Sus scrofa: one gene and its partners. The protein of the gene in region 1 purifies or fractionates together with the protein of each later gene. This does not show direct contact. Links are inferred from orthologs where the notes say so. Each region holds a gene or a part of one and is shown in the gene's direction. Other genes may lie near its edges.

Region 1 (3,932 bases):
CACAGGCCCCAGTTTAGCCAACCAGGGAGGCCCGGCGGCTTCTGCAGTCAGAAAACACCCGCGGCCTCTGCAAAAGTCCCCCTTTGCCTCCGACAAACAACACCTCGGCTCCACCAGGCCCCAGGAAAGGCTAGTCGGGTGGAGGGAGACCTTTCGAGGTGCACACAATTGCATGCCTGCGATTATCTGGGAGACTTTGAGGGCACAGTAATCTCTCGAGACCAGAAACCATTTTCCTCTCTCGCTCTGAGATTGTGCCTGGCTAAGCAGCAACAGCCTCCCTGCCCCCCTCCTACCCCCCACCGCCACGGCCACGGCCGCTGCAAGCAGCCACGCCCCGCGGCCCCAGGGCTCGCCGCCCCGGGGCTCACAGCCCCCACGCAGCTTGCACGCCGCACCTCCCTTCGCCCCACCCCCGCGCGCCCCCATCCGCCCCCGCGGCCGGCCCTGGGAGCGCCGGGCGAGACCTCGCGCCTGCGCCTCGCCAACTTCCTGCCGCGAAACGTCCCGCCCACCCTCCAGAAGCCCGCCTCCGAACGCCGCGTGAAACCTGCCTGCTGCACGTGATTGGTCGAAACCACCAAGCCGTTGGCTCCCAGGCCCGCCTCTCCACCGCCTCTCACTTTTCCCAGGGCGGATGCGCCTGCGCTCAGCTGCCTGGGCGGGCTGGGAGGCGCGGGTTGAAAAGTCTCGTTCCAAGTTTGGAGAGAGAGAGAAGAGCGTCTCAGACCTCGGTACCCGCAATCGGGGAGGAGGTAGGAGAGAAGGACGCGGCGTCTGGGGAGCACCCAGGCTGAAAGACGGAGCTGAGGCTTCGAGAGCTGGAAGTGTGTGACGCGCCTGGGAAAGGCAGGAGCGCCTACTGTTGGGCTGCTCTTGGCTAGCGAGGGGAGTCCGAGGCGGCGGCGAGGGGCAAACGACCCGACGCAAGATGGCGAGTAAAGAGAGTAAGAGGCCCTGCGGGGCGGCGCGCGCCGGGGCGGCGGGGGCGGCGGGCGCGCGAGGCCGCGGCACGCGCCGGCGAAAGGCGCGAATTGGCGTGAGGAGCAGGGGGCGGGGCCGGGCGCGAGGCTGGGCGCGCGCCTCGAGGGGCCTACGCGGGACGCGGCCGCGGCGCGGAGGGCTGCGAGCACTTCCGGAGCCGGGCGCGGGGCCGCGATTTGGGCCCCCTCCCCCCCCACCCCGCCACCCCCTACCCCCTCCGGCGGCGGCGCTCTCGGTCCCCGGGCGGAGGCGGCCTCCGTCGCCGGAAAGCGGGCGCGGCGGCTTCTTCCACGCGCGCGCGGCGGCCGCCTCGGGGTCGCGGCTCTTGTCCGGGGGAATTCTGGAACCCGTGGCTTATGGCTGCCGACGCGGGCTTCGTGGGAGCCGAGGCCTCTCCTGGTGGGGGATGGAGGGAGCGGGCCGATGGGTTTCTGCTACACGTGGATTCGTCTCGCCGGGTGGGTCGGGGAGCCTCTTTACATACGGCTCGTCATCTCCGAACAGGTGCGGACAGCTGTAGCGGCAAAACATTTGCGATGTCCGTGTAATTAATTACCCGATTCTGTATTCGCAGGCATTATTGATTTCAAAGTGGAGAGGGAAAAAAAAAAAAAAAAAAGCTTCCTGGTGTTAATATTCTCTCCACGTTGTGGACGAGCAGTTCGTGTCCAAATTAGAGAGAGAGGAGATTAGGTGTGGCCATCTCGAGGTGACCTCCGGTATCTGTGTACAGGTTTTGTTTTCGATCCCTCTCCGCCACTTAATCGTGTGGGCTTTCTCCAAATTTCAGTGTTTGAAGATACTGTGGAGGAGCGTGTCATCAATGAAGAATATAAAATCTGGAAGAAGAATACACCGTTTCTGTATGACCTGGTTATGACCCATGCTCTTCAGTGGCCGAGTCTTACCGTTCAGTGGCTTCCTGAAGTGACTAAGTAAGGGTTTCTGGCACCTTTTATTTTGCGTAAATTTAACTGTTGTCCTGGATTTCCTACTTTTTGGCGTTTTCTGTATGGAACGTAAGCATGTAGTTAGTTTAGCCCTTGGGTGAGGTGGCAGGTGATTTTTATTTTTAAAACTTAAGTGATTTGGGGGTTGGTTTCTGGCGTAATAATGTGGCGCTTAAAGGGGGAGAAAGAATCTGTTGTGAGATTAATGTTATTTGCGGGAGGCACCGGATATGTTTGACATTTATTGGGCATTAACATAGAGCAGCATCTTTTTGGGTGCCAGACTGGTGGGATTTCTTTAAAAACTTTATGGGAAAATAGCGTGCCTAGGAGTTGCGGCTGTGGCGCGATGGGATTGGCGGCGTCTCTGCAGCGCCAGGACGCAAGTTCTATTCCTGCCCCTGCAAAGTGTGTTAAAGGATCTGGCATTGCCGCAGCTGCGACGTAGGTCGAAACTGCGGCTTGGATCTGACCCCTGGTCTGGGAACTTGCATATACCGCGGGTGTGGCCATTAAAAAAAAAGAAGAAAGAAAACAGCTACGTGCAGAAAAGTGCACAAGTCATAAAATATGGCTTGATTAATTTTTGCGAAGCGCACACATCCTTGTAACCAGCCCCCAAGATAAATACGTGTTAATTGCAAAGGGGAAGAGAACTGAGCAGCAGTTCACTACCGGAAAGGTGGGGTTGTTGGCTTATAGTGTGGGATGGGATACACTTTGAAATTGCTCTTGGTCCTCTTAAGAGTATTCTTTTCAATTCTTTGTCAAATTCTCCGGTGATAACTACTGACATTTATTGAGTACTTAGAATACGGCATGGCACATCTCAAGAGTTTTGTGTCCTGTTATTTGGTTTAATACAACAGTAGAATAATTACTTTTTATCATTCTTGTTTTACCAATGTGGAACCGGGCTGAAATGTTGAATAACATGCCCCAGATCACACAGCTGGTAAGCGGTGGAGTGGGCTTTTGAACCCAAGCCAGGTGGCCCCAGAGTTGTGGCAACCTCTGCCCTAGGTTATCTTTTTCATACAGTTGCACATTTCCTAATAGAAACTTGGCCATGCACTTTTACAAGTGTGTTAAATTGTGAGCATATAATTTAATGAGGATTAATCCAACTCGAGAGAGGGAATTTTGTAATGTAAGAAATAAGAGTAAATAAATTACCTTCACATAAAACCGATATAACGGCTGGATTGTCCATATGCGAACATTGACTTCTACAGATAGGGACTTCCATTGGGCTTACCCCAAAATCTCAATGTCAATGTACAGCGGGAAGAAGAGCCGACAACTAAACACTGCAGACTTCTAAGTATTGATATTTATACCAACTTTGACCAGGGTATTGAGGTTCTGGTTTAGAGCATTGTGTGCGTTTGGCTCTTTGTTTAAAACTTCAATTTACATTTCCTTGGATCTTTTTGACCTAGTGTAACAATAGACAAGATGGAGGGCTTTAAGGTTAGAGACCTGAGTTTGAATCATGCCTCCTGCTTCTTGGCTTTGTGAATGAGGGCAAATCGGTCAGTCTCTATCCCCGAGTAGTCTGGTCTGTAAACAGAGGTGTTGGCGGTTCTCACTGCCTACATTTGAGGGAATAAATAAGATCACACATGTTGAAGTGCTGGCTGATGGTAATTCTGCCACCCCTTCCTATTGAGAAATAATTTGTTAGGGTGGAATAACTCTTCATTTGTATTTGAATGAAGGCTGCTTCTTGAAATCTTTAAAAAATGTTACCCACGATGTGGTTTGTGTAAAGGTTTTATTTATTTGGTGTGTAAAGATTTGAAAGATAATAGTTCTGTGTGTTTTCGGCCCAGATGTTACGTTTATATTAACACTTGGGAATTTAACAGAAATTAAATTATGTATTCCATGGTGTTCTCTGCATATGAGGAAGTGGGATCTGGTTGTGGGATGTGCAGTGGCTCTGGGAATGCAAGAAAATGCCAGCCAGCCTGCATTCTTGGGTGTTGAGGACAG
Region 2 (2,763 bases), on another chromosome or scaffold:
AGCCCGCATCCCTGACCATAGCCCACGTGAAGCCGAGCATCATGAAGAGGAACGGGAGCTTCCCCAAGTACTACGCCTGCCACCTGTGCGGGCGGCGCTTCACGCTCCGGAGCAGCTTGCGGGAGCACCTCCAGATTCACACGGGGGTGCCCTTCCCAGCCAGCCAGCCCGGCGAGAGCCGCGTGCCCCTGTCGCTCTGCAGCACCACGGCGGACCTGGGCAAAGACGCCATGGAAGTGCCTGAAGCGGGGATGATCAGCGACAGCGAGCTGCAGCACATCTCGGATTCGCCCATCATCGACGGGCAGCCGCACTCGGAGACGCCGCCGCCCTCGGACATCGCGGACATTGACAACCTGGAGCAGGCGGACCAGGAGCGGGAGGTCAAGCGGCGCAAATACGAGTGCACCATCTGCGGCCGCAAGTTTATCCAGAAGAGCCACTGGAGGGAGCACATGTACATACACACCGGGAAGCCTTTCAAATGCAGCACTTGTGACAAGAGCTTCTGCAGGGCCAACCAGGCGGCCCGGCACGTGTGCCTCAACCAGAGCATAGACACGTACACCATGGTGGACAAGCAGACTCTGGAGCTGTGCACCTTCGAGGAAGGGAGCCAGATGGACAACCTGTTGGTGCAGACGAACAAACCCTACAAATGCAACCTGTGTGACAAAACGTTCTCGACTCCCAATGAGGTGGTTAAACATTCGTGCCAAAACCAGAACTCGGACGTCTTCGCCCTGGACGAGGGGCGGTCCATTCTCCTGGGCAGTGGGGACTCGGAAGTGACGGAACCCGACCACCCGGTGTTAGCTTCCATCAAAAAGGAACAGGAAACCGTGTTGTTAGACTGAATGTTCCTTATCTTTTTAAAAAACCTTGTCATTTTAACACAGACTATCTTCCTTCCCTTCCCCCAATCCAGAACTGTAGCTCTCCACGTGGCATGAGCCGAACGCGTCCCTGGCCCCTCCCCCCCCTCCCCCGCGCCGTCCCCAGCCCCCTCCTCCGGAAAGGCTTTGTGCATCATAAACCTGGAACATATTCACTTTAATTCAGGGGATATTGGAAAGATAATGGTCAGTAGTACTTATAAACTCAGATTTTGAGAGGTTTTCGATTATTTAAAAGCATCCTTGGAACTAATGAAGGGTATTTAACCAAACAAAACCACGCGAATGCAATTTGGTAACCAAGCTAAAATTATGACTTTCCCTGGGTAATAAGTCTTCCTTCTCAGAAAGATAGTGTCTGGAAACACAGCATGCTTCTTAGAAATACAGCGGGGCTCGGGACTATGCACAATCTCCAGGTGTGGGGAAACTTGAAACCCAAGAACATGTTCTTAGTATTTATCCTCCAGGTATCTTATTTCAGAATGCATCCTTTCAGATTATGTCCAGTCAAGAAAAATCATTAGTTAAGAAATCTACTTGAACAAAACACAGAAGAGGAAAAAGTAATAATGTGATGGCAATCTGAATTTTTGGATACAACATGACAAGCTGTGAGTTTGTGTGTTTGGAAGAGAAAATGTGTGGATACCGGCTGTAAACAGGTGAATGAATGCACATGCCTTATCTGATTGCTGGCTTTTTTCGAAGTTGAACAACAACAAAACACTGTGTTTTCGTTTCTGATAAATTTGTTGGTTGTTTTAAAAAATCAGATTTGGAAGTACTGTTCTGTAGGTTGTCTTTCTGAATAGAAAACGACATGCCATTCTAGCAGTTGCCAGTGGTAAATTTGTTTAGCACCAGTTAGCTGCTTTTAAATCAGTGTGTGTGCGCAGGACAAAGGATGCAGGAAATGCATCTTACAGGGGAAGCTATGAGCCGATAGAGTAACTTTAATGACTTTAAACGTCAATGCTAATAGTTCACTGGCAACATTCATGGAGGCATTAGAAATGGCCAAGAGAAATCAGGACAAAAACCTTAATTGCTCTTTGGGAAAACTCTGAATTTTGATGTTACAGTATCCAAATTTTTTCCCGACACCTGAAATTTCCTCCATTGGCCTGAAAGCATAAACGTTGTCCATTAATCTTCCCTTAGGCCAATAACAGAATGGTCTCACAAGACAAAATAGGAGCCAAAAATAAGGACCGAAGGGGAAAGGGAAGAGCAGTTAATAACTGTGCTGTACGTGTATGTTAAAAACTGAATATCCCGTCATCCTGTTTCATGTATAGTTGAGTTCTCAGATTTGTAAGTTTTTATACATACTTTCATTGAATAAACCTTTGATTAAATGGGTATATGATTTTATCTGCATCTTCCTTTGTCCACCCAAAAAGATGCAGGAAGGACAAATAGCGTTCCTGCTGTGTCTCCTTTCTCTCTTGAACTTTGGGCAACTCCCCTAACCTGAGTGGCACTTTGTATAATTGTAAAATGAAGACAGTAACTGCACTGCTCATAAGTTTGGGAGAATCAGGAGTTCCCATCGTGGCTCAGCGGAAACGAATCTGACTAGGATCCATGGGGACACAGGTTCGATCCCTGGCTTCAATCAGTGCATTAGGGATCCGGCGTTGCTGTGAGCTGTGATGTAGGTCACAGACAGACAGACGCAGCTCCAATCTGGCGTGGCTGTGGTGTAGGCTGGCAGCTATAGCTCCAATTCCACACCTAGCCTGGGAACCTCCATGTGTGCGGTACGGCCCTAAAGAGACAAAAAAATAATAATAATAATATTGTGAGAATCAAATGAGTAAATAAACAATATAAGAAGATACGATAGGAGTTCCCGTTTTGG
Region 3 (4,044 bases), on another chromosome or scaffold:
GTAGGCATTCTCAGTGCCTACAGTCTCTTCTGGAGAAAAGACTCAATCTGAGGTGCAATTAGTCAGAAATGGGTTCAATAGATTCTTCTACACAAGTGAAGAAACAAAATGGGAACAGAGAAGTAGGAGCATTAGGGCGGTGAAGAGAGAGGATTTTTTGCACCTGTGGCATAGGAGAGGCCCGGAACGAAAAAAGCTGGAGCAAGGAGCCAGGTGTCACCACTTTCCAAAAAGTAGTGTTCACAAGAAAGTCCAGGACTGCTCTCTGACATACATTAAGCTGACAATCATCAGCTTAATCTAGTGTGCATGGTGTCCTTCCTGTTTTCTTCCTTCCTTTCTCTCTCCTTCCCTCTTCCTTTCCCTGCGCCTGAGGCCTATGTAAGTTGTCTGGCCAGAGATTGAACTCAGGCCGTGGCAGCGACCCAGGCTGCTTCAGTGACACTTTAGGATTCTTAATGCCCTCCTTCGCAAGAGATTCGTTAGCATTTTCCTACTTTGGAATAAGTAGGTGCATTGTTCCTAGAAAGTAGAGCGACGTCGAGGAAACACTTTTTGTGGGAGCTTGAGCAGCTGCAGTGAGGTTATGGGAATGTCTTACACATTATTCTATTCTATTCCCGTGCAAGTGCCTTGCATGGTAGGAGCTCAAAAACTGTTTTTTAGAATTATCTTCAAACTTTTAGTTGTCCCTCTCAAAGAAGCCTGTGCCCACACGCGGCAGCAAGCAGGTCTGCGCCTAGAAATAACATTTATTCTAAGGACCTCTGCGCAGGGATTCCTGGGAGGCGGTTCCCCTCCCTTATTACTTCGTTTCTCCACCCCTCGGTCGCCTTTGAAAGAGTAGGAACGCCACGTGATTCCCTCGTTTACTCCACCTCTGAAAAACCGGCTGATAATGGGCAGGAGGGTAGACCAACTGTAAGACGTTATTTTCTCCTCCAGCCAATAGAAAGAGGAGCTAAGTATAAGGCTCAGCTTCGGTGACTCCCCCGCCCCCTTTGAGCCCGTCCCCAACTCCTCCTCTAAGATACCACATTTGACAACTCGCCCGGCCAATGAGAAGTTCCTACTCTGCATGGGAGGGATGGACTGGGTGATAGACGTCCTGATTTGACCAGTGGAATGTCACAAGTGCGGGAGGGGTGTAGGACGGAACCAATGGCGCAGTGCCAATAGCGAGCATGGGGGGGGTAAGGGCGGGACAAAACTGTTAGCGTGAGGGCGGGGAAGGCCCGGGGAACCCAGCAGCGCTGCCGCCGCCGCCGCAGCAGCAGCCGGAGTTGGAGGAGGGAGAAGCCAGGAAGAAAATGGCGGCTGTGGCTGCAGAGGCGGCAGCGACTGCAGCGTCCCCCGGGGAGGGGGGCGCCGGCGAGGCCGAGCCGGAGATGGAGCCCATCCCCGGCAGCGAGGCCGGCACTGACCCGCTCCCGGTCACGGCCACTGAAGCATCTGTGCCGGACGCCGAGGCCGACGGGCAGCAGTCCTCTCCTCAGGCCGACGAGCCCCCGCTCCCGCCGCCACCGCCGCCGCCGGGGGAGCTCGCCTGCAGCCCGGAGGCGGCGGAGCTGGAGCTGGAGGCGGACGAACTGCCTGCCGGTGTTGTGGAGCTGACGGCAGCCGCGTCTCAGGAGGGGCCTGACCTTCCACCTTCCCCTGCACCGCCGCCCGAGCAGCCCCCAGCTCCCGAGGAGCGCCAGGAACTACCGCTGCCCCAGCCAGCAGCCCCTGCGCTCGTGCCGCCGGCGGGCGGGGACTCCGCGGTGTCGCAACTGATCCCCGGCTCGGAGGTGCGGGTCACGCTGGACCACATCATTGAGGACGCGCTCGTCGTGTCGTTCCGCCTCGGGGAGAAGCTCTTCTCGGGGGTCCTGATGGATCTGTCCAAAAGGTACCGCGTCCTCCCCAGCACGCCCCCGGGCGCCCCGGCCCCCACGGTCCCCGGGGAGGGATCGAGCCTGGGCGGCCCCTTCACTTCGGGCTCCCGCCTCTTAGGCGCCCTGCTGCCTGTACCGCCCTTGGGTCCCGCGCGGCGCGTGGCGCGTGCTCCGAGAGGGGCAGGCGCGTGGGGCCGCAGGAGGGCGGGCCCTGCCCCAGGTGGACGCCCGCGAGTGCAGGTGTCCCGCCGGGTCGGGGGCGCGGGTGTTGACGGCCTTGCGGGTCTCACCCCCAGCCTCGGCCTTTTCCTATGACCTGGCCCTGGCTCACCCACACAAGGGTGGATGGGTTAATGCAAAATGCAGAAGGCTTTTTGCAGAGAACGGGGTGCTGGATGGGGGATACTGCCCTGTTCTCAAATTAGCCTTGAATGAGGTTGAAAAAAGGGGTGTGTGCTTTGGGACTCCCAAAAGGCTGTCACTCCTTATAAAGGGAAAAGCATTTATTAAAAATGAGATCCTTGACTGTTATTCTTAGTTAGAACTAATTCCCCCTAGATAAGTTCAGTATGGAAGCATATTTGGTTCATCATGATGATGGCTTTAAGAAAAGTCTAAAGAAGAGATGTTTTTTTTTTTAACCTTTAGTATCGAGATGTGGTATAAAAGTATTCAAATACTAACTTCTCAAACGATACAGTTTAAATGGTTGAGTTCACCCACAACGTTTGGGTGTGAACTCAATAGCCAGCCTCTTGTACCACATTTTCCTTTTTTAATTGTTTGGGCATTACTTTAAACAGGTGAAGAAGATACTTTCTTCTAGGTCTAGAGTTACCTTAACCTTTTTATTCTCTTCTTTTGCAGATATGAAGTGCAGAGACTCCCATTCACGGCTCTTCATTCTGTTTCCTGCAACAGCACACACTTAGTGTCTCACCTGTTTAGAAATGGTTAATTTTAGTATGTTTTACTTTTAGCTGCTTGCCCTCCCGTCCAGACCTAAGAATCTTTCCTCATTTGGGATACATAATTGAAGCATGGGAGAAGATGGGAGCCTTTACGCCTACGTCTTACATTTTTTAAAAAATTTAAAAAAATTAGTTTCTTTTTTGTCTTTTTTAAAAAAAATTATTTTTGCTTTTTAGGGCCGCACCTACGGCACATGGAGGTTCCCAGGTTAGGGGTCTAATCGGAGCTTTAGCTGCTGGCCTGTGCTAAAGCAACATGGGATCCAAGCCTCCTCTGCAACCGACACCACAGCTCACAGCAACGCTGGATCTCTGACCCACTTAAGCGAGGCCGGGGATCAAACCCGAATCCACTGGCTAGCAGTCGGATTCGTTTCTAACGCACCACAACGGGAACTGGCTGTTTTTTTTTTTTTTTGAAGTAGAATTTACGTCAGGACTTAAATACTTTTGTTTTTTGTCGTTAGAAAGCAAAATAAGACCAAAGTGCTTTCTACTGATTAATAGCAAAAGAGAGAGTGTATGCTTGATAGTGTGTATGCTATTGAATCAAACAGAAGTGAAGGCCGGTGATTGTGTGAGAATCTGGATTTCAAATCTGCAAAAGGAAAGTGCAAAAAGGTAAGTTGTTTCTGGAAATAGAATGGATGGTGCTATTCTGTTTTGAGGTGCTCATTGTGTTGGTGTTTTATTTATTTTAAAATTTTCTTTGGTAGGGAACTGCAATTTGTTTGAGTTTGGGTCTATTTTTACTGACAGTACTTAGAAAGAGCAGTTTCTTTCCTTGGGGTTCCTTTCACATTTTAACATTTTGAAGTGAAAGGATCCTGTCACTAAAGTAATTTTTAAAAAGCCATTAAGGGAACCATATCAATTTTTCATTCAACAGATATTTATTGAGCACATCCGTGTAGAGCACTCTCCTAGGCATTCTGAGTATTATATGTATTCTGCCTTCTAGAAGCTTATATAGGATGCACACACATCTTGGAAGTGGTGAGGAAATCAGACGGTGTTTTTAAAATTTTATCCCCCCCCATAAAATAAAATTTAGCCCTTCAAGGAATTACTATGGGCCAATGATTGACTAGTTGAATATCTTTTTCATAGTTTAATTCGGAAAAATGTAGTATGTTTTGTAATCTGCACTTACTTGATTGCGTGTTTTACTGCACAGTGTTGATGTTAATTGATGA
Region 4 (4,106 bases), on another chromosome or scaffold:
GCCCTGGATGGAAAGGAGCCAGTGAGGCAGGAGGGATCATAGTTTAGGAGGTGGCTGGATGGCTGAAAGATCCAGGATGCCTCCAGAGGAATGGGCATGCTGGAGTGAGCAGTGATGTCCGTCTCTGGCCTGGGAACCTCATCAAACTTTGCTGACCTATTTCTCCCTCCACAGGCTTGTGAGTTGCACGTGGCAGGATTCGATTTTGAGGTGCTGAACGAAGGTTTCCTGGTTCATAAAGGCTTCAAAGAAGCTTTGAAATTCCACCCCCAAAAGGAGGCCGAAAATCAGCACAATAAGATCCTTTACCGTCAGTTCAAGCAGGAGTTGAAGGCCAAGTACCCCGACTCCCCACGTCACTGCTGAGCCCTTCCTTCCCCTAGTCTGAGAAGTCTCAGCCTCCTCCCTCCTTAGGCCGCCCCTCAGGCCTGACTGGGGTAAGAAACGTCACTCCACTTTACAGTGGTAGCTGTGGTGTTTGAACACTGGACTTGAATATGGGGTGCTGGGATCAAGTCCTAGCTTAACCACTAACTAGCTGTGTGGCCTTGAGCAAATCCCGTTCTCTCTCTGAGCCTCAGTTACCCCGTCTGTAAAAGGGAGGTGAGAATACCTACCTCACAGAACTGCTGGGAGGCTCAGATGAGATGCTATATGTGAAAACATTCTGTAAGCTTCGTACAAATGTGAAGTATTATTAATATTATTACAGTATTATTATTGTTGTTATTATTATTGTTATTATTATTAACAATCTTGGGTGGGTGAGCAGTAGGAGAGCAAAAAGTATGAATGGGGGCAGAGCTGAGAAGTCTGAGTAGTTAACAAAATGGGCTTTTTGGAAAGAAATCAGATGAAGGCGTTGAATTTAGTTCTTAGCTTTTGGGCAGAAGCCGAAACTTCCTGGTGTCTTAGGCCTCCGTCCCGGGGGCTCTAGAGAAGGGAAGGATCTGCAGGTTCTGTGCGTCTGAGATCTGTACCCTTGAATAGCCTGGGCTGGGTGATTTGCCTACCGACTACAATGTGTAAATAAATGAGTGTTCACACCTACAGCTGGCTCCATTACTCTCCGGAACCGGGCGGGGGTGGGGGCCGCGGGTCGCAGGTTCTCCCCTTTCGCGCCGCCGGGAGGTGACTGTGGACCCAGACGCGAGGGCTGCAAAGCTAGGAAGGCACAAGGGCCTTTCCTGCATGCTGAAAGCCTGTGTGAATGTCGGTCCGTTGCCATGGAAACCGTCCCGCGGTATCCCAGCATGCCTCGCCCCAGCTATCCAATTGTGAGCACTCCGATGGGCGCCTCCTGATGACGCATGCGGAAAGCGCGGGTAGGCCCCGCCCCCGGAGAAGAGGGACCGGTGCGGCGCTTCCGGGACCCCCACAGCGGCAGCCAGTACCGATAACCTCCGGCACCTCTTGGGGAATCTAAGACGTGAGGCTGGAAGCGCCACTACCTACGGGTGCGTAACGCCAACCCTGGCGCCTGGTTTGCCCTTTCGGACAGGCAGTCGGAGCCTGCCCAATATCCAGGGCGGTAGCGAGACTTAACCGCCCGGACGCGAGCTGGGGCCGCGGGACCGAGGAGCCAGTGACTCTCCCGCCCGCTCCGCCGCGTACGGAGATGGAGCGGGGCGCGAGGCTCTGGGTGCGCCGTGGAGGGACTGGGTCGGCTTCTTCGAGGGTGGGGAAGAATCTTCCTTCCTACGAGGCGTGCCCTTGACATGCTCGCTTTCTGAAAAGATAAATTGCATGTGCACAGCACCTTATAGTTTGCTTTTCGATCCCTTACCTCTTGCCATCTTTACAACACCCAGAGTAGTGATGGTTATCCTCATTTTGTACCCGGGCTAAAGTGGGGAGGATGTGATTTAATTTGGCTCTCTCAGTAGACCCAGAGACTGGTGGAGAGAGACCTCCCCCCAAGCCCCGCCCTCTCTGGTCCAGAAAGGTGGGACTTACCCCGAGTTGTTAAAATATATTTAACAGTGAAGAGAAATTGCAAAGTTTGGGAACTCCAGGAACTGAGGCTTGAAAAAGGGAAAGAGGAGGCTGATTTGGAGAACCGAGGTTTTCAGCTCAGGTTCAGATCATTTGTGAAATCCTTGAGGAATGCTTTGAAACGGCCCTCTAGGCCAGTCAGTTTACTCAAACTGATGTCAAGGAAAGGTGACAAAACACTTTGGGTTTGCTACCACTGTAGGGACCAGGGGCTACTAAGAAAGCCATTTCCTGCCCTGCAAAAATGTGTTTTGTTTAATTTGCATTCGCAAATCCTCCAGTGGTCTAGTGAGTCAGTACTGCGCGGGGTGGGTAAAGCGCGTGTGCAGCCCTGCCCTGGGGAGGCTCACAGACAGGCATGAGGATGGGCAACAGACGTGGAAATAAATAAGGAGGGGCATCTACGCGGATCTGAAGGACTACAAAGTACCCAGAGGAAAACATCCGGTGAAGTAGAAACCCCTTTAGTCAGAAATGATCTATTGAGACTGTTTAGTCTTCCTCTTGGGCGATCTTTTGGCAGCATTTGGCACTGTCTCATCTCCTTCATTCTGAAATTCTCTCTCTCCCCCTATACTCTGACTTTTTCCTCCTCTGTCTCTTGCTAATTTCCTTCTCCTTTCCTGGCATCTTGTCATCTGCCCCTTTGATGACCCTAGAAGTTCCATCATGAACTCCTTCTCACTCCACACATTCTGCCTTGCTGGTTGCACCCTCTCCCAAGGCCTGAAGAACTCACGATGTGATGACCAGATCTCTGCAGCCCACATTTCTCTGTGAGGCTTAGACCCATGGACCCCCAGCCCTGCCCCCTTCTCTCCTCTTGGGGTGTTTGCACCTGCTACTCACTCTACTTAGAATGCACCCTCTCTTGACCAGCTCAGCTCATCTGTCTGGCCCATCTTCCTCTGCAGGCCCTCACTGCTGCAGCAGGCTCCAGGTCCCAGTTAGATGCCTCTCCCGTAAGCCCCTGGTCTTAACTCTTCTCACCCCACAGCAACAGTCTGTTTCTTAGCCTTTCTGTCCCAGGAACTTGTAAACTCCTTGAGGTCAGAGACTGTCGCACCTGTGCCCAGCTCCTACCATAGTGTCTGCTGCTACCTAGCATGTATTAGATCTTCAGTAAATATTAAATGAGTGACTAAAAGAAGGAATGCTTAAGACTGTTCAGTTTGCTGAGAAGTCAACCTAAGATAAGCACCAAAAAATACTGGCATTAGGTACGAGGAGTTCGTCAGTTAACTCTACAGGATGGGCTTCAGCTGAGAGTGATGATACAGGAACAGAACAAGTGGGAGGTGGGCGAGTAGGAATAGCAAGTGTCCACAAGGCCTTGAAAAGTAGCCATGAGGTGGAAAACGGCGAGCAGTGGGGTGGGGTGAGGTTTTGTGTTTCTGCTTTCTCTCTCTGGTGGTAGATACCTGAGCACGTCTGACGTTCTCTGGGAGGAGCTGTCAGGAGCGAGAGTTGAAGATGCATAAGGGAGAGGGCAGCACTGAGGACATGAGATCATGAAGGAAGCAGGAGATAGGATTTGAGCCCAGTGAGAACACAAGCATCGTAGAGTGTTCTCAGGAAGAGAAGTGGAGGGCGGTGTAGGCAGAAGAATAGCACAGGAGTTCCCGTCGTGGCGCAGCAGAAAGGAATCTGACTGGGAACCATGAGGTTTCGGGTTCAATCCCTGGTCTCGCTCAGTGGGTTAAGGATCCAGCATTGCCGTGAGCTGTGGTGTAGGTCGCAGACGCAGCTTGGATCTGGCGTTGCTGTAGCTGTGGTGTAGGCCAACGTCTACAGCTCCAATTGGACCCCTGGCCTGGGAATCTCCATATGCTGCGAATATGGCTCTAAAAAGACCAAAAAAAGAAAAAAAGAAAGAAAGAATAGCGCCGTGGGCGTTAGGGCTGGTGGGGAAGTGCGTGGTATATTTGAGAACTGGCCAGCAGATGGTGGGGTGAAGGAGCTGGACCGGTGATTCAAGTCCAGTCTGTGCAGGGCCTTGGAAGCCCGGATCAGAAGTTTGGGCCCAGGAGTTCCCATTGTGGCTCAGCAGTAACAAACCTGACGAGTCTCCATGAGGATGTGGGTTCACTCCCTGGCCTCGTTCAGTGGGT
Region 5 (3,500 bases), on another chromosome or scaffold:
TGATGACGTGTGTGTTTGTGTGTGTGTGCATCTGTGTGTCTTTGAGGCAGAGGGAAGAGGATGACCCTCGCAGCCCAGTCTTGTTCAGCTTGGTCTGAACTCAGGCACACTCCAGGGCAGTGATACTTGGGAAAGGGTTTCGGGTGGAGGTTAAAAGGGGTAGGGGAATAGTTTTTGGTCCCTGTTCTGCCCCATCTTTATCCCCTCCCCAAAGGGAATGAGGACAGTGCTGACTAGGAAAGCAAGTGTGGGGGGAGGGGGTTGGGCCAGGGTGGGGTGTCAGAGCCCCTCCTACCACGGTCCCCTTTTCACCCACCCACAGGTTCTACCTGTTCTTCTGCTCCGTGTGTAACCAGGGCCCAGAGTACATCGAGAGGCTGCCCCTGCGATGGTGAGGTGGGGACCTTGGCCCAGGTCCACTCCTGTCCCCTCCCAGCTTCTTCCCCCCTCTCCTCTTCCTTGTGGGTGGTCCCTTCCAGCCACCAGGTCCCAGCCTTACCCCTGCCCTTCAGCCTGGACCTGAATGCTCCAGCCCTCCCACCTCCTTGCCCCCTTGCCCAGGGTCGATGTGGTTCACCTGGCTCTCTACAACCTGGGGGTGCAGAGCAAGAAGAAGTACTTTGACTTTGAGGAGATTCTGGCTTTTGTCAACCACCACTGGGAGCTCCTACAGCTTGGCAAGGTATGCAAGACCATGTGGCATCAGAATGGCAGGAGTCTGTTCCAAAGTGGGGTTACTGAGGTCCAGAGGTGAGAGGTTTGCCCAGGGTCACACAGGGCAGAACTAGGATCTGGGTCTCTGAGCACAAGTCTTGAGGAATACCACCTGTCTGTGAGGCTACTGAGTAAGGACAAAGACCCAGGGCCTTTCAGCTGCTGCAACCGTGTGTCCAGGCATCTGAGCCTGTGCCCTGCAAGGGGCTTCCTAACCCAGGTTTTGGCAGTGGATGGGCTAGGACCCCACTGACAGCCGCAGGGAGCCTGGGGGTCGAGTCTGGCTGGATCAGGTTTCTGCGGAGATGGGTGACTTACTCCAGATTACCTAGCCAGGATGGAAGGTGAAGTGGGCCTGCCCCCTGCTGGTCATACTCTGAATAGCAGAAGTCCTCACTGCAGTTCTGGGAGCTGGGATCCAGGGAGTCATGTTCTGACCCTTTCAGAATGTCAAAGGTGAAGACTGACTTGTTGGTGCTCATCACTGCCAGGGCCTCCCCAAACACTTCCATGTCCCCGTTTCTCTAATGACACCCTCAGAATCCTCTCCACCGCATCCAGTGAGGCATCTTCTCTGCTGACTGCCCCAAATCCTTTAGTGAAATGGAGTTTTTTTAAAAATAATCTTTATCCTTTGCAAAAGCTTTTCATATAACATCTTCAGTTATAGCATTTGATAATCTATAAGGCATATATATTATAAAGCCCTAAAAGATAAGTAGAGTTGGTATTTAAATTTTTTTTCTGATTATACATACATGTTTTAGAAAAATTTCAGAGCACCGAAAGCATAAGGGAGTATCCTTAAAACCAGCCACCCTCATGCATCACACCGCCCAGAAACAGCTGCTGCTAATACACATCCTTTCATTCTCCCGTTTTTCTTTTTACATGGCTTAGATTATACAGTATTTAAAACTTTTATTGAAATATATTTGATTTATAATATTGTTATTGCTAGTTTCAGATTACAGAAAAGTGATTCAGTTGTATGTTTTCATATTCTTTTCCGTTATAGGTTATTACAAGATACTGAATATAGTTCCCTGTGTTTTACAGTAAATCCTTGTGGCGCATCTGTTTTCTGTCTGGTAGCTTGTATCTGTTAACCCCGTACTCCTCACTTAGCCATCCCTTTCCCCTTCCCCTTGGGTAGCCATAAGTTTGTCGGAATGTAAATTGGTGAAGCCACTATGGGAAATGGTATGGAGGTTCCTTAAAAAACTAAAAAGGGATCTATCATACGGCCCAGCACTCCTGGGCATGTATCTGGAAAAGACGAAAACTCTAGTTCAAAAAGATAATGCACCCCAGTGTTCATAGCAGCACTACTTAACAATAGCCATGACATAGAAACAACCCAAGTGCCCGTCAACAGACGACTGGTTTATAAGGTGTGGTGTATATATACGATGGAGTATCACAGCCATAAAAAAGAATGAAGTATCATTTGCAGCAACTGGATGGACCTAGAGAATATCATAGTAAGCAAATAAGCCAGAAAGACAAATTATGTCTTTGTAATATTATGACAAAGTAATATTACATGTGGCATCTAAAAAATAATACAAATGAATCTATATACAGAACAGAAACAGGAGTTCCTGTCATGGCGCAGTGGTTAACGAATCCGACTAGGAACCATGAGGTTGCGGGTTCGGTCCCTGCCCTTGCTCAGTGGGTTAAGGATCCAGCATTGCCGTGAGCTGTGGTCGGATCCCGCGTTGCTGTGGCTCTGGCGTAGGCCAGTGGCTACAGCTCCGATTCAACCCTAGCCTGGGAACCTCATATGCCGCGGGAGCGGCCCAAAGAAATAGCAAAAAGACAAAAAAAAAAAAAAAAAAAAAAAAAAACGGACTCACAGTGTGTATAATTTAAGTCATTTTTTGGTTTATGTTATATCATACTTACTGAAAGGGTTTTTGTCATTATTTTTCCTGGCTGCATTTACTACTATAAATAAGTAGTATCTTTACTTTTTTCCTTCCTGTTGGGCATGTAGTTTCTTTCCCATTTTTCGTACTTGCCCATCATTAGAAAAATGCTGCAGTGAACTTTTTTGTACATAAAGCTTTGTTCGCGTGTCTTATTATGTCTCTATGATAGGTTCTGCGGAGTAGCATTACTGGGTCGAGGACAAAGACATTTTTAAAGCTCTTAATGCACTGGGGACAAGAGTTATTCCTCTCACTTACAGATGGGGATGTGGGCTCAGAGAGGTGAGAAGACTTGTCTGGATCATAGAACAAGTCAGTGGTCCTCAGCTGGAGGACGCCGAGCATCAGAGATTGAGAGGGAGGGGTTGGGGCTGAGGCCTCCTCAGATGCCACGTGCCGGGTCTGACTGTCCGCTGGCCTTCTCCCCTGCAGCTCACCAACACCCCTGTGACGGACCGGGGACCACATCTCCTCAACGCTCTCAACAGTTACAAAAGCCGGTATGTTCAGGGAAGGGAGGGAGCGCTTTGGGGCCCCCAGCAGTGGGATTTCAGTATAGGGTCTTCCTACCTCATAGCCCTTGCTCAAGCCATGCTCCCACCTGGGCGTCTGCCCTTCTCTTCCCTGACTGTATCCATCTTACCTGTCCCTCAAGATCCAGGGAGCACCTACCTCCTTTGGGACACTTCCCTGACCACTCAGCCGCCTGGCACATGTGGGTACTGGGCTCAGCTCCTTAGGGGGCTGCACCTGTGATCTCTGAGCAACCCCTGCTCTGGCCATCTGTGGTTCTGGGCCAGGCACTGAGGTAACACTTCACCCTCTCTCAAGTGGGCTGCAGCCTCCTAA
Region 6 (4,210 bases), on another chromosome or scaffold:
TACCACAGCTCATGGCAACTCGGGACCTTAACCCACTGAGCGAGGCCAGGGATCGAACCCGCAACCTTATGGTTCCTAGTGGGATTTGTTAACCACTGAGCCACAACGGGAACTCCTGTTTGTAGACTTTTTAATGATGGTCATTCTAGCCAGTGTAAGGTGGTATCTCAAAGTGGTTTTGATTTGCATCAGAAATATCTAAGTCCACATTGTTGACACTACAGTGAAAGCAGTGAAACTTGTCAGCAGATGATTAAGTTTTATGGTTAATGTCCACACTTTTGCATCTTGGGACCAATATCAAGTTTCTGGGAAAAACATCCTTCCTGTCTCCCCATGTCTGTCATTAAATCAGTGTCTCAGCCTGTTGGTGTTAGATGTGTTCTTGGAATAAAGGTGTACCACAATTATTTTTTTTCCATTTTTCACTTATTGGTCTGAGATTTACTTCAGTTCTTCAGTTTTTTTTTTTTTTTTTCTCTTCTGGGGCAAGAAGCATTTAGATTGTTGGTTTATTACATATTCCATAAGGGAAACTCTGCATTTCACCGGCAACTTTTTCAATTCCCAAGACCACCAGTTGGTGGTATTATTTCTGGGTGATTGGATCACCCTTTACTAGCAGCTGGAGGTGGGATGTGTGTCCCTAGATTACTGGCTTTCCACTATAAAAGAAAAGCGACACTATTCCCACGGAAATTAACAACTCTTCAACTGCAACAGGCTTGAAATCTTAAGGCCAAAGTGGAGAAAAAAACTGAATTATTATGGAGTGGGTTACTCTTTGAGGAGTGCAGACGGGAGCTGGTGAATGAACAGAATGTCAAAATGGGACTTTATTAAACGACTCATTAAAACTGCAAGAAAGACAAATCTCCGTTGGCCTCAGAGAATTTAAAAAAAAAAAGATTCAAAAACCCTTTTTCAAGCAAAACTTAGGAAACATGGGAGAAGTATTAATTCAATCTGGGCGCTTGGAAGACCACCTCCCCTGCCACTTCAGTTCAGACACTGGGCAGAGATGTGAAAATTTTGCAAAAACAGCCTTCAAAACTATTTTTCAACGCGAAACGGTGTGCGCGAAAAGCTTCCGAGTGTAAAGTACGACACGCAGCCCAGTGTTCTCCCTGGGTTGCTAACCTTTCCGCCTTTCCCCTCTCGCCACTCCCCCTTAGCCTGGGCCTCCAGCCAGGGGGCGTTTGTTTACGTGACGTCACCGTAGTAAGCAGTCCCCGCCCCCGTTTCCCTGTGGCCGCCGCGTTTCCCGCGCCGCGGCGCTTCTCCCCTTAAAAGGACAATAGAGGCCTCGGGAGCGCGCGCGGCCGCCGGGCCTTCTCCCCTCCCAGCCCTCGACGCGCGCGCGCCCGTATGCAAATAAGTTCGATTCAGGAGAATTTTGTACCAGGAGCTGCGCGTGCGCAGAAGGAAAGCGGAATCTACACCTTCCCCGCCAGCCGTGGCAACTGCAGAACTGCAGGAGACAATCTTTCTAGACAAGGCAGTTGAGGAGGAGGGAGCGATTGGAGCGTGGGTTGGCTTGGCGTGCACTCCCCACCTCTGAAACATTATTGCGCGTGGAACGGTTGCTTCTGGAAGGTGAGTGACTCTAACCATTACTGCGGTGCAAAACTGTCTCAGGAGGCTTTGATTTCGGAGTGGCTTTTTTTCTCTTTTCACCTCACCTCACCACCTCCCCCAGTCCTTCCACAGACACACACGCACACATTCATATACGCACACAGGAAGTTTTGTCTTGGAGATGGCATTGCTTGGAGCGCGGTTTTCGTGGTCCTCAGACCCCAGATTCTTTGTATCTGCATGTTTAGTGTGTCCTTTTTAATTGGGGAGGGTATTTGAGGCAAACCGAAAGTCTTGGGGTGGGGGAAGTGAGTGAAGCCTGGAAGAGTGAGGAGTCGCCGGAGTTGAGGGGTCCACATTGAAGGTGACAATGACTTTTCTCAGCCGCAGTGCTCGCTGGCGAAAAGGAGCCTGGTGGCTGAAAGGCCCGAGAGAAAACGAGTTGCTGGCGACTGCCGAGGGGCCCTGGGTCGGTGCACCCGCGTGGGCGCGCGCCCGGGAGTGGCCGGGCGCCGTTGTTGGACCTCGTGGTTGAGTTTCTTGCCCCCCCACCCCCGGCGCGTGTTTAGATGAGTGTGGACAATGAATGCCCCTCGCTCGAAAACTAAGTTGCGTCTACTTGTGAGCTGGCCGGCGGAGGAGGTTTAAATTGGCCTTTCGGCTTGGTGCCGGCATGGCCGGAGTGCATGCGGGTGGCGTTGTCCGCCCAACTCCGGAGGGATGCGGATGCGACAATGAGCAGCACGCGGCCGCTCGGAAGCGGCCCCGGCTCTGAAACGCTTCTCCCCAGGGCCGCGCCCAGGCAGCGCAGGCGTTCGGGGTGTCTGGAGCCTCAAGTTTGGTCCGCAATTTATTCACCTGTAGCGTGGTTTGGGCGCCGCGGCGCTCTCTAGGGCCACGGTGTACGGCTTAAGATGGCCAGTCGGAGTCAAGTTGACTTGGGGATGGAGGCAGCGGCGTTGTCTGCGCCGGAGGAGTGCGGGAACTCAGGAGGGCACTGCTTTTTGTGCCGAGCGTGACAGACCACGTGCTGGGGCTGCGACCCGGGTTTGCTCCCAGGTCCGGCTGAGCCTCTGGCTCGCGGTCAGCCGGGAGATGCGGGTGCTGTCGGGGCCGGCCGGCAGGACAATGTGACTTGCTGATGATGGCGTCTTGCCAGTTTCAAAAGCAGAGTGAAAGTCGCCAACTCTCGGCCGGTGCAGGGCGGGGAATCCGGGCGTTTCTCATCAAGGACATTGCAAAACTTTGATTAAATGGCCCCGCTGCTAGGGGAGGACGGCAGGACCGGCCCCGGACTTTTGGGACGTGGGGTCCGGCCCCTTCCCCTGGGCGATCGTCTAGTATCTCCCTCAGAGAAACAATCCCACGTCCCTCCTGCTGCACGTAGGCAGCGCCCAGCTGGACAGAAAACAAAGAGCCGCATGTGCTGTTGCGGGCCCGGCGGGCGCTCTGGGCGGCCGCCGGGCGGAGGGCCGTGCAGGCCTGGCCCCCCGAAGTTCGGGCGAGTTTCGGAAGGGGCTTTTGTCCCTCGGCCTCTCGCGGGGAAACTTTCGCGGCGCTACTAGTGCGCGGTGCGGGTGTGCGGAGAGGCAGCGTGCTTCCGCGCGGCCAGCGGCAGCCGAGGGGCCCCGCGCTGGAGCCCGGGCGCTGGCTGCTGCGACGACCGAGGGCTCGGCCAGCTCCCCGGGACCGGCGCCTGCGTCTGGGAGGTCTGTGGATCCGCCTTTGAAGTCGAACTGTTGCCATGTTTGAATTACGTCAGGGCAAAGCCATGAGGAGGAACAAGCCCCGGCAACGCGGCGTGCGGGAGGCGCGGCCTGCGGGAGGCGCCGGGCCGGCCGGGTGGGCGGGCGGGCGCAGGGCCCGTTGTTCCGGCGCAGGTGAGGGAGGCGGCAGCGAGGGACGCGCTCGGTTCCCGCCGCTGCCGCTGCCGCCGCCGCCGCCGCCGCCCCCGCCCGGGCGGGCAGCTCTCCACAGGAACTTTCCTCCCGACCGCAGTTGTGTTTACGCACCGATCCGCCTGGGAGCGGTTCTGTTTGCTGCCTGGGTGTCTCTGTGTCGGCCGTCGCCGCGTGCCGGGGTGTGTGTATGTGGGGGGAAGCGCAGCCTGGGGCGGCCGCGGAGCACCGGAGTGGGAACCGGGAGGCGTTTGACTGCTTTCGGGGAAACCCGCGAGCGCGGCGAGGGCCCCCCCACCCCAGCCGAGCCGTGCGCAGCCCGCACGATCAGGGGACTCAGCCCCGACGACACCCAAAAACCACCGCGGGGAAGTTTGGGGACTGCCGTTATCCTACAAAGGGAAGTGAGGACTGTGAGCGAATCGTGGGTGCAGCTCTTGTCTTTGTGTGTTTACGTGGGGGGTGGGGGGCGGCAGGGGCGGGGGCTGTTTGGGTAGCGGGGCTTCTTGGGGTGGTAGGGCGGTGCAGAGTTTGCTCTAGAAACTCTGACCCTCGTAGGTTTCTTTGTTTTTAATTTCTCCTTCTAACATTCAATGACTCCAGGCACTCAGAAGACTAGGAATTTCTGTTTCGCCAGATAAGGGCCCGGTGCGAGGCAGTTTCTCCCCAGCAGTTATTCCCCCCCACCCGTCACGCATGTTGTCTTAAGGAAGGTTAAGAAAATTCTGCCTTCC
Region 7 (4,242 bases), on another chromosome or scaffold:
TTGCATATTCATCCTCCCTTCATCTCATGCTCTTCTGTTCTTGGAGGGAGTGCTCTAGGTATTCAGAATCACTGCCTTTTCTCACTTCTACTTTCTAACCATGTGTCATATCTGCCTGCAGATCACTATTTAGGCTGAATAAAATCATAGGTGCATTCTATGTCTAATCAGAATCAATAAATAATAAGACATTGTGCATTATTTGGGGCCTTCAAAAAAACCCTAACCGATTTAAATCTATGTGTAAACAAAACTAGTAAGGTTCAGGCAAAAAGTGATAAAATTCAATTTTTCACAGTGACTGTTTTTTGACAAGATCTGGCTGCTTAACCTAAGAGATTTAAAGGAGGACAACAATAAGAAACCTAGATGATTCTCTGAAATACAATACTACACTGCCTGGGTTGAAGTGGTCAAAACCTCAAAGTGTCACAGGAAAATAGCACATGACAATCTTCGAGTCCTGTGTAATATTACTTTGTTCCCAAGACTCAAATTTCCAAGAATGCTTTGTTTCGGCTTTAAAATTTAAAATATCCTGTACCTCAAGGTCTAGATTTCTCTTTGCATGTCAATGGTAACCATACTATTAACAGCTATTTCAAAAGTACTCTAAATAGGTCACCATGCAAGTGCACCACCGCGGCGAACCAAATGGATATAAGGAGAAATCCAAATTTATCACCCACTCACGTTTTCTTTTTAACTCAAATGTGCTACTCACAATAGTGTTTGTTTACTTTGGCACGCCATTAAAATTCTCTTTGTATTAGTTCTCTTTACACCCGTTTCTTCCAAAAACACACGTCATTATACAAACTGAGTCCATCTGAAATTAAAATTAGCTCCTCTGCCTGGCATTTCAGTTTACAAAAGACAGAAATTAAACCCTGTCGACCGATCACCTAGATGAGGACGTGAACCTGATTCCTAATTAGGTTTTTCCTCGCGTCTTCACCACCCCTTGTCCTCGGGCCCCCCAGTGTTTTTCTGTCTTAGAGGAGAAAGATGTTAAGGTGGTGGTGAACCTCAAGCCGCCAGGAAGCCCTAGCCGACGTTTAATGCTTAAACGTTCTGATCCCCCGGGGGGAAACTTTTTTCTTTTTCTTTTTTTAAGGTTACCCGTTGGACAGTTTTCAGGGCAGTCAGCCCACACTAAACTCGATCTCCCAAGAGCGGGAGGGTGGACAAAACCTGCACGGTCGTGGGACGGCGCGGGGGGGCCCCGCGTCTGAGGAAGGGTGGGACCTCGTTGAAGCCAGGAGATTCAAAACACGGATCGACTAAGGGAGAAAGAAACCTCAGGGGGCTGTGGGGGCACCGCCTACCTCCGCGATCAGCCCCGGATGCTCCGGGAGCCTACAGGCCGCGGCGGGAGGAGGACCGAGCCCGAGGGCGGTGCCGAGCGGGCGGGCACACAGCCGCCGCGCATGCTCGGAGCCGCGCCCGCTGCAAGCCGCCGCGTCGACCCGCAAGGCCTCCCTCCAGGGTCGCGGCGGAGAGCCACCGCCCGCTGCTCCTTTTAAGGCTTGCGAGGGGCCGCGCTTGATCCACCTGATGGGGGAAAAGTCGGTAACACCGGGCTGGGGGAGCTGGTCCAAGCTTCCCCCTCCCTGTGGGAAGGACGAAAGGGAGGACTCAGCCGTCAGCCCCCGCAAGTCCCATTCAGACCTTGAGCAAAGAGGTGGACTTGACAGTGCTTCCCCTTTAAGAGGGGGCGGTGCGCAGCCTGCCGTTTGGCTGCCCTTCGCACCCTCCCCCCGCCCCGGGCCGAGAGTTTACAGACCAATCACCCGGGTGGCGGAGGGAAGGCGGGAGAATGCGAACCTTTCGGTAGGGCGGTAGGGGCGGGCCCCCGGCCTTATTAGGAGGGAGGCCTGCGCAGGCGCAGACGCGTCCGCAGCCGGAGGGGCGGGGGCAATCCAGTGAGAGACTCTCCGACAGGCACCGAGGGTGATTGGGAGGAAAGGGGCAGCGAAAGGCTTGTCATGGGGTTCCGAGCTGCGAAGCGGCATCGGTAGCATCTGGGGATTTTGAGGGGGACAGGAAGTGTCAACGCCCGGGACCCCGGCGCCAGCTCCGCTGGGGGGATCCCCGCTGCTCTAGTCCTGGGGAGGGAGGGGAAAAAGGAGGGAGCCCAGATCTCGCCCCGCCCCTGGGCTTGTTACCGCGGGGGCGGGGAGTGAGGGCTTCTTTTTGGGGGGAGTGGAGATCGGGGGACTCGGCTGTGCCCTCCTGAGCGGCTGCGGGTGTCCCCGCGGCGCCGGGCTGCGGAGCAGAGGAGCCGCGGCGGCCGTGGCTGTTGCATGAGTGGCTGCTGGATGCGGAGGCGGCGGCGGCGGCGGCGGCGAGGAGCAGCAGCGGCGGCAGGATGTTAGGGCAGCAGCAGCAGCAACTCTACTCGTCGGCCGCACTCCTGACCGGGGAGCGGAGCCGGCTTCTCACCTGCTACGTGCAGGACTACCTCGAGTGTGTGGAGTCGCTGCCCCACGACATGCAGAGGAACGTGTCCGTGCTGCGAGAGTTGGACAACAAATATCAAGGTAGGGGCCGCGGGACTGCCTGTGCGGGTCCTCCCCCAACTCATCCGCTGGCCGCCGGGCACGGTCCCTCGGAGCCTGCCTGGGGAAGTGCCGCTTTCCATTTCTCCTGTGACAGTCTCCCCGAGTGTACAGAGGGGTCTGGTGTGTGGGACGGGAGAACGGGACTGGAGACGGGGTTCGCGGCCCTCCCTTCCCCCTGCGGTCGGCGAGGACTTCTCTTGGAGTCTCAAGGGTGGAGGTGGGGGCGGCTCGACAGCCCCCGCTGCAGACCCGGAGGCTGCAGCTGGTGTGGAGGGGAATCAGCCATTTTAAGCAGCAAGCATTTGTTCCGGCGCTCCCCTGCCCGGTGCCGCAGACCCTCCTGCCCCGGCCGGGGAGTGTACGGCCAGGCGGGGCTGTGGGGAGTGAGCGGCCGGCCGCGGCCGGACTCCCGCTGGTCTCCTGGGCCTGGCTTTCCCCACCCCCCAGGTGGGCCCCCACTCCTTGAGAGCAGATGCATTGGAACGTGCGAGGGGGAGGGGGCTAGAGGGCTGCGAAGGCGGCCTCCGGGGAGGTCCCTCCGTCGGCTCTCAGGCTCCGGACTCGGGAATAGTAGTCTCCTCTCCCGCCCCAGGGAAAGTTCCGGGCCGTAGCCTTTCCCAACTTGTTCAGCCAAATGGTTAAAGGGCTAGGGGGGTCCCTGCGGGGAAGGAAGAGGGTGTGTGTGTGTGTGTGTGTGCGCGCGCGCGCGTGTGTGTGTGTGTGTGTGTGTGGCGGGGAGGGCCCCCACTTGGGGGCGGGGCCTGAGGCCGTGACGTAGGACATGGGAGGGGCGAGGACACGCGCGCTCCCGCCGGTCTCGGGAATGGCCAGTGTCGGGGATGGCTGGTCTCGCACAGAGTTGGGCGAAGCTAGCTGGTTGGAAACGGGTGGGAGCTGTGCGGGAAGTTAGCTCGTTCTCAGGAGATTCAGTGTTGGGATCTGGGACTGTTTGTTGTGATTTTTTTTTTTTACTTTTTCCGAACCACTCAATCACGACAAAGACACTGTCAGATGCTGGGATCGTCCCTGACCCTGGCACCGCGTAGGTTCCGGGCCTTGCGTCACTTCCGGGCCCTTGGAGGATGTGGGTTGGTTGACTGGGCAACCGCCTGGCGTCCCTTAAACCCTGAGTCCCTCCTCTTGCCAAGTTTAAGTGATTGAGGCACTAGTCACCCTTTGTGGTCCGATCCAGGAGGCTAGGACTGGGGCTCAGCTTTTCTTACAGAAAGTATTATTTATTATTTTCCATTGGTGGCCCTTTCGCCTTTCGCCAGAAGGGGAGTCTAAATGGGGAGCCGTTTGCGTTTAATAACCCTGAATCAAGGAACAGATCTGGGACTTAATGTGTAACCAGCCATATGGACTTTAAAGGGATAACTTCTTGGACCCATTCTCTGTTTCGGCACGTCACTAATCCTGTGATTTAGTCTCTAAGGAACCCGTTTCTTAAAGGGTGATATTTTTGGGCCTGTAGGATTTTAGAGCATCTCGGTGTGTTTTAATCTGTAATTTATTTTGAGCCCGTATGATTAAGAGGACTGATCTTTATGCGGGGGGAGTAGTGAAATAATACAGATTATTTACCGTCAGTTGCTGCACCACGTCCAGAACATTATCTCATTTAATCTTCACAACTCTATGAAATTAAAATTCATTTTGCAGATAAATTAAAATTTAC

The links.
Region 2: the proteins of RBBP7 (region 1) and ZBTB2 purify together in Homo sapiens (affinity purification with mass spectrometry; 3 studies listed by BioGRID and IntAct, counting the BioPlex papers as one, with this or other methods). This does not show direct contact. The link is inferred for Sus scrofa from reciprocal best matches to the Homo sapiens genes RBBP7 and ZBTB2.
Region 3: the proteins of RBBP7 (region 1) and PWWP2A purify together in Homo sapiens (affinity purification with mass spectrometry; 3 studies listed by BioGRID and IntAct, with this or other methods). This does not show direct contact. The link is inferred for Sus scrofa from reciprocal best matches to the Homo sapiens genes RBBP7 and PWWP2A.
Region 4: the proteins of RBBP7 (region 1) and BRMS1 purify together in Homo sapiens (affinity purification with mass spectrometry; 3 studies listed by BioGRID and IntAct, counting the BioPlex papers as one, with this or other methods). This does not show direct contact. The link is inferred for Sus scrofa from reciprocal best matches to the Homo sapiens genes RBBP7 and BRMS1.
Region 5: the proteins of RBBP7 (region 1) and PHF19 purify together in Homo sapiens (affinity purification with mass spectrometry; 3 studies listed by BioGRID and IntAct, with this or other methods). This does not show direct contact. The link is inferred for Sus scrofa from reciprocal best matches to the Homo sapiens genes RBBP7 and PHF19.
Region 6: the proteins of RBBP7 (region 1) and FAM60A purify together in Homo sapiens (affinity purification with mass spectrometry; 3 studies listed by BioGRID and IntAct, counting the BioPlex papers as one, with this or other methods). This does not show direct contact. The link is inferred for Sus scrofa from reciprocal best matches to the Homo sapiens genes RBBP7 and SINHCAF.
Region 7: the proteins of RBBP7 (region 1) and ING2 purify together in Homo sapiens (affinity purification with mass spectrometry; 3 studies listed by BioGRID and IntAct, counting the BioPlex papers as one, with this or other methods). This does not show direct contact. The link is inferred for Sus scrofa from reciprocal best matches to the Homo sapiens genes RBBP7 and ING2.

What each region holds. Positions count from the first base shown.
Region 1 is NC_010461.5:13,313,721-13,317,652, reverse strand, and holds the start of RBBP7 (histone-binding protein RBBP7), read left to right. Parts: upstream 1-1,132; 5' UTR 1,133-1,340; coding exon 1,341-1,488; intron 1,489-1,774; coding exon 1,775-1,919; intron 1,920-3,932. UniProt on the Homo sapiens protein: Core histone-binding subunit that may target chromatin remodeling factors, histone acetyltransferases and histone deacetylases to their histone substrates in a manner that is regulated by nucleosomal DNA.
Region 2 is NC_010443.5:14,892,696-14,895,458, forward strand, and holds the end of ZBTB2 (zinc finger and BTB domain-containing protein 2), read left to right. Parts: coding exon 1-857; 3' UTR 858-2,263; downstream 2,264-2,763. UniProt on the Homo sapiens protein: May be involved in transcriptional regulation.
Region 3 is NC_010458.4:63,408,677-63,412,720, forward strand, and holds the start of PWWP2A (PWWP domain-containing protein 2A), read left to right. Parts: upstream 1-1,244; 5' UTR 1,245-1,310; coding exon 1,311-1,891; intron 1,892-3,249; exon of another isoform or gene 3,250-3,386; coding exon of another isoform or gene 3,387-3,469; intron 3,470-4,044. UniProt on the Homo sapiens protein: Chromatin-binding protein that acts as an adapter between distinct nucleosome components (H3K36me3 or H2A.Z) and chromatin-modifying complexes, contributing to the regulation of the levels of histone acetylation at actively transcribed genes.
Region 4 is NC_010444.4:6,044,771-6,048,876, forward strand, and holds the start of BRMS1 (breast cancer metastasis-suppressor 1), read left to right. Parts: upstream 1-1,306; 5' UTR 1,307-1,457; intron 1,458-4,106. UniProt on the Homo sapiens protein: Transcriptional repressor. Down-regulates transcription activation by NF-kappa-B by promoting the deacetylation of RELA at 'Lys-310'. Promotes HDAC1 binding to promoter regions.
Region 5 is NC_010443.5:260,906,277-260,909,776, reverse strand, and holds part of PHF19 (PHD finger protein 19), read left to right. Parts: intron 1-322; coding exon 323-391; intron 392-561; coding exon 562-682; intron 683-3,083; coding exon 3,084-3,151; intron 3,152-3,500.
Region 6 is NC_010447.5:42,929,035-42,933,244, forward strand, and holds the start of FAM60A (protein FAM60A), read left to right. Parts: upstream 1-1,410; 5' UTR 1,411-1,596; intron 1,597-3,206; exon of another isoform or gene 3,207-3,287; intron 3,288-3,448; exon of another isoform or gene 3,449-3,658; intron 3,659-4,210. UniProt on the Homo sapiens protein: Subunit of the Sin3 deacetylase complex (Sin3/HDAC), this subunit is important for the repression of genes encoding components of the TGF-beta signaling pathway.
Region 7 is NC_010457.5:44,916,153-44,920,394, forward strand, and holds the start of ING2 (inhibitor of growth protein 2), read left to right. Parts: upstream 1-1,442; 5' UTR 1,443-2,371; coding exon 2,372-2,543; intron 2,544-4,242. UniProt on the Homo sapiens protein: Seems to be involved in p53/TP53 activation and p53/TP53-dependent apoptotic pathways, probably by enhancing acetylation of p53/TP53. Component of a mSin3A-like corepressor complex, which is probably involved in deacetylation of nucleosomal histones.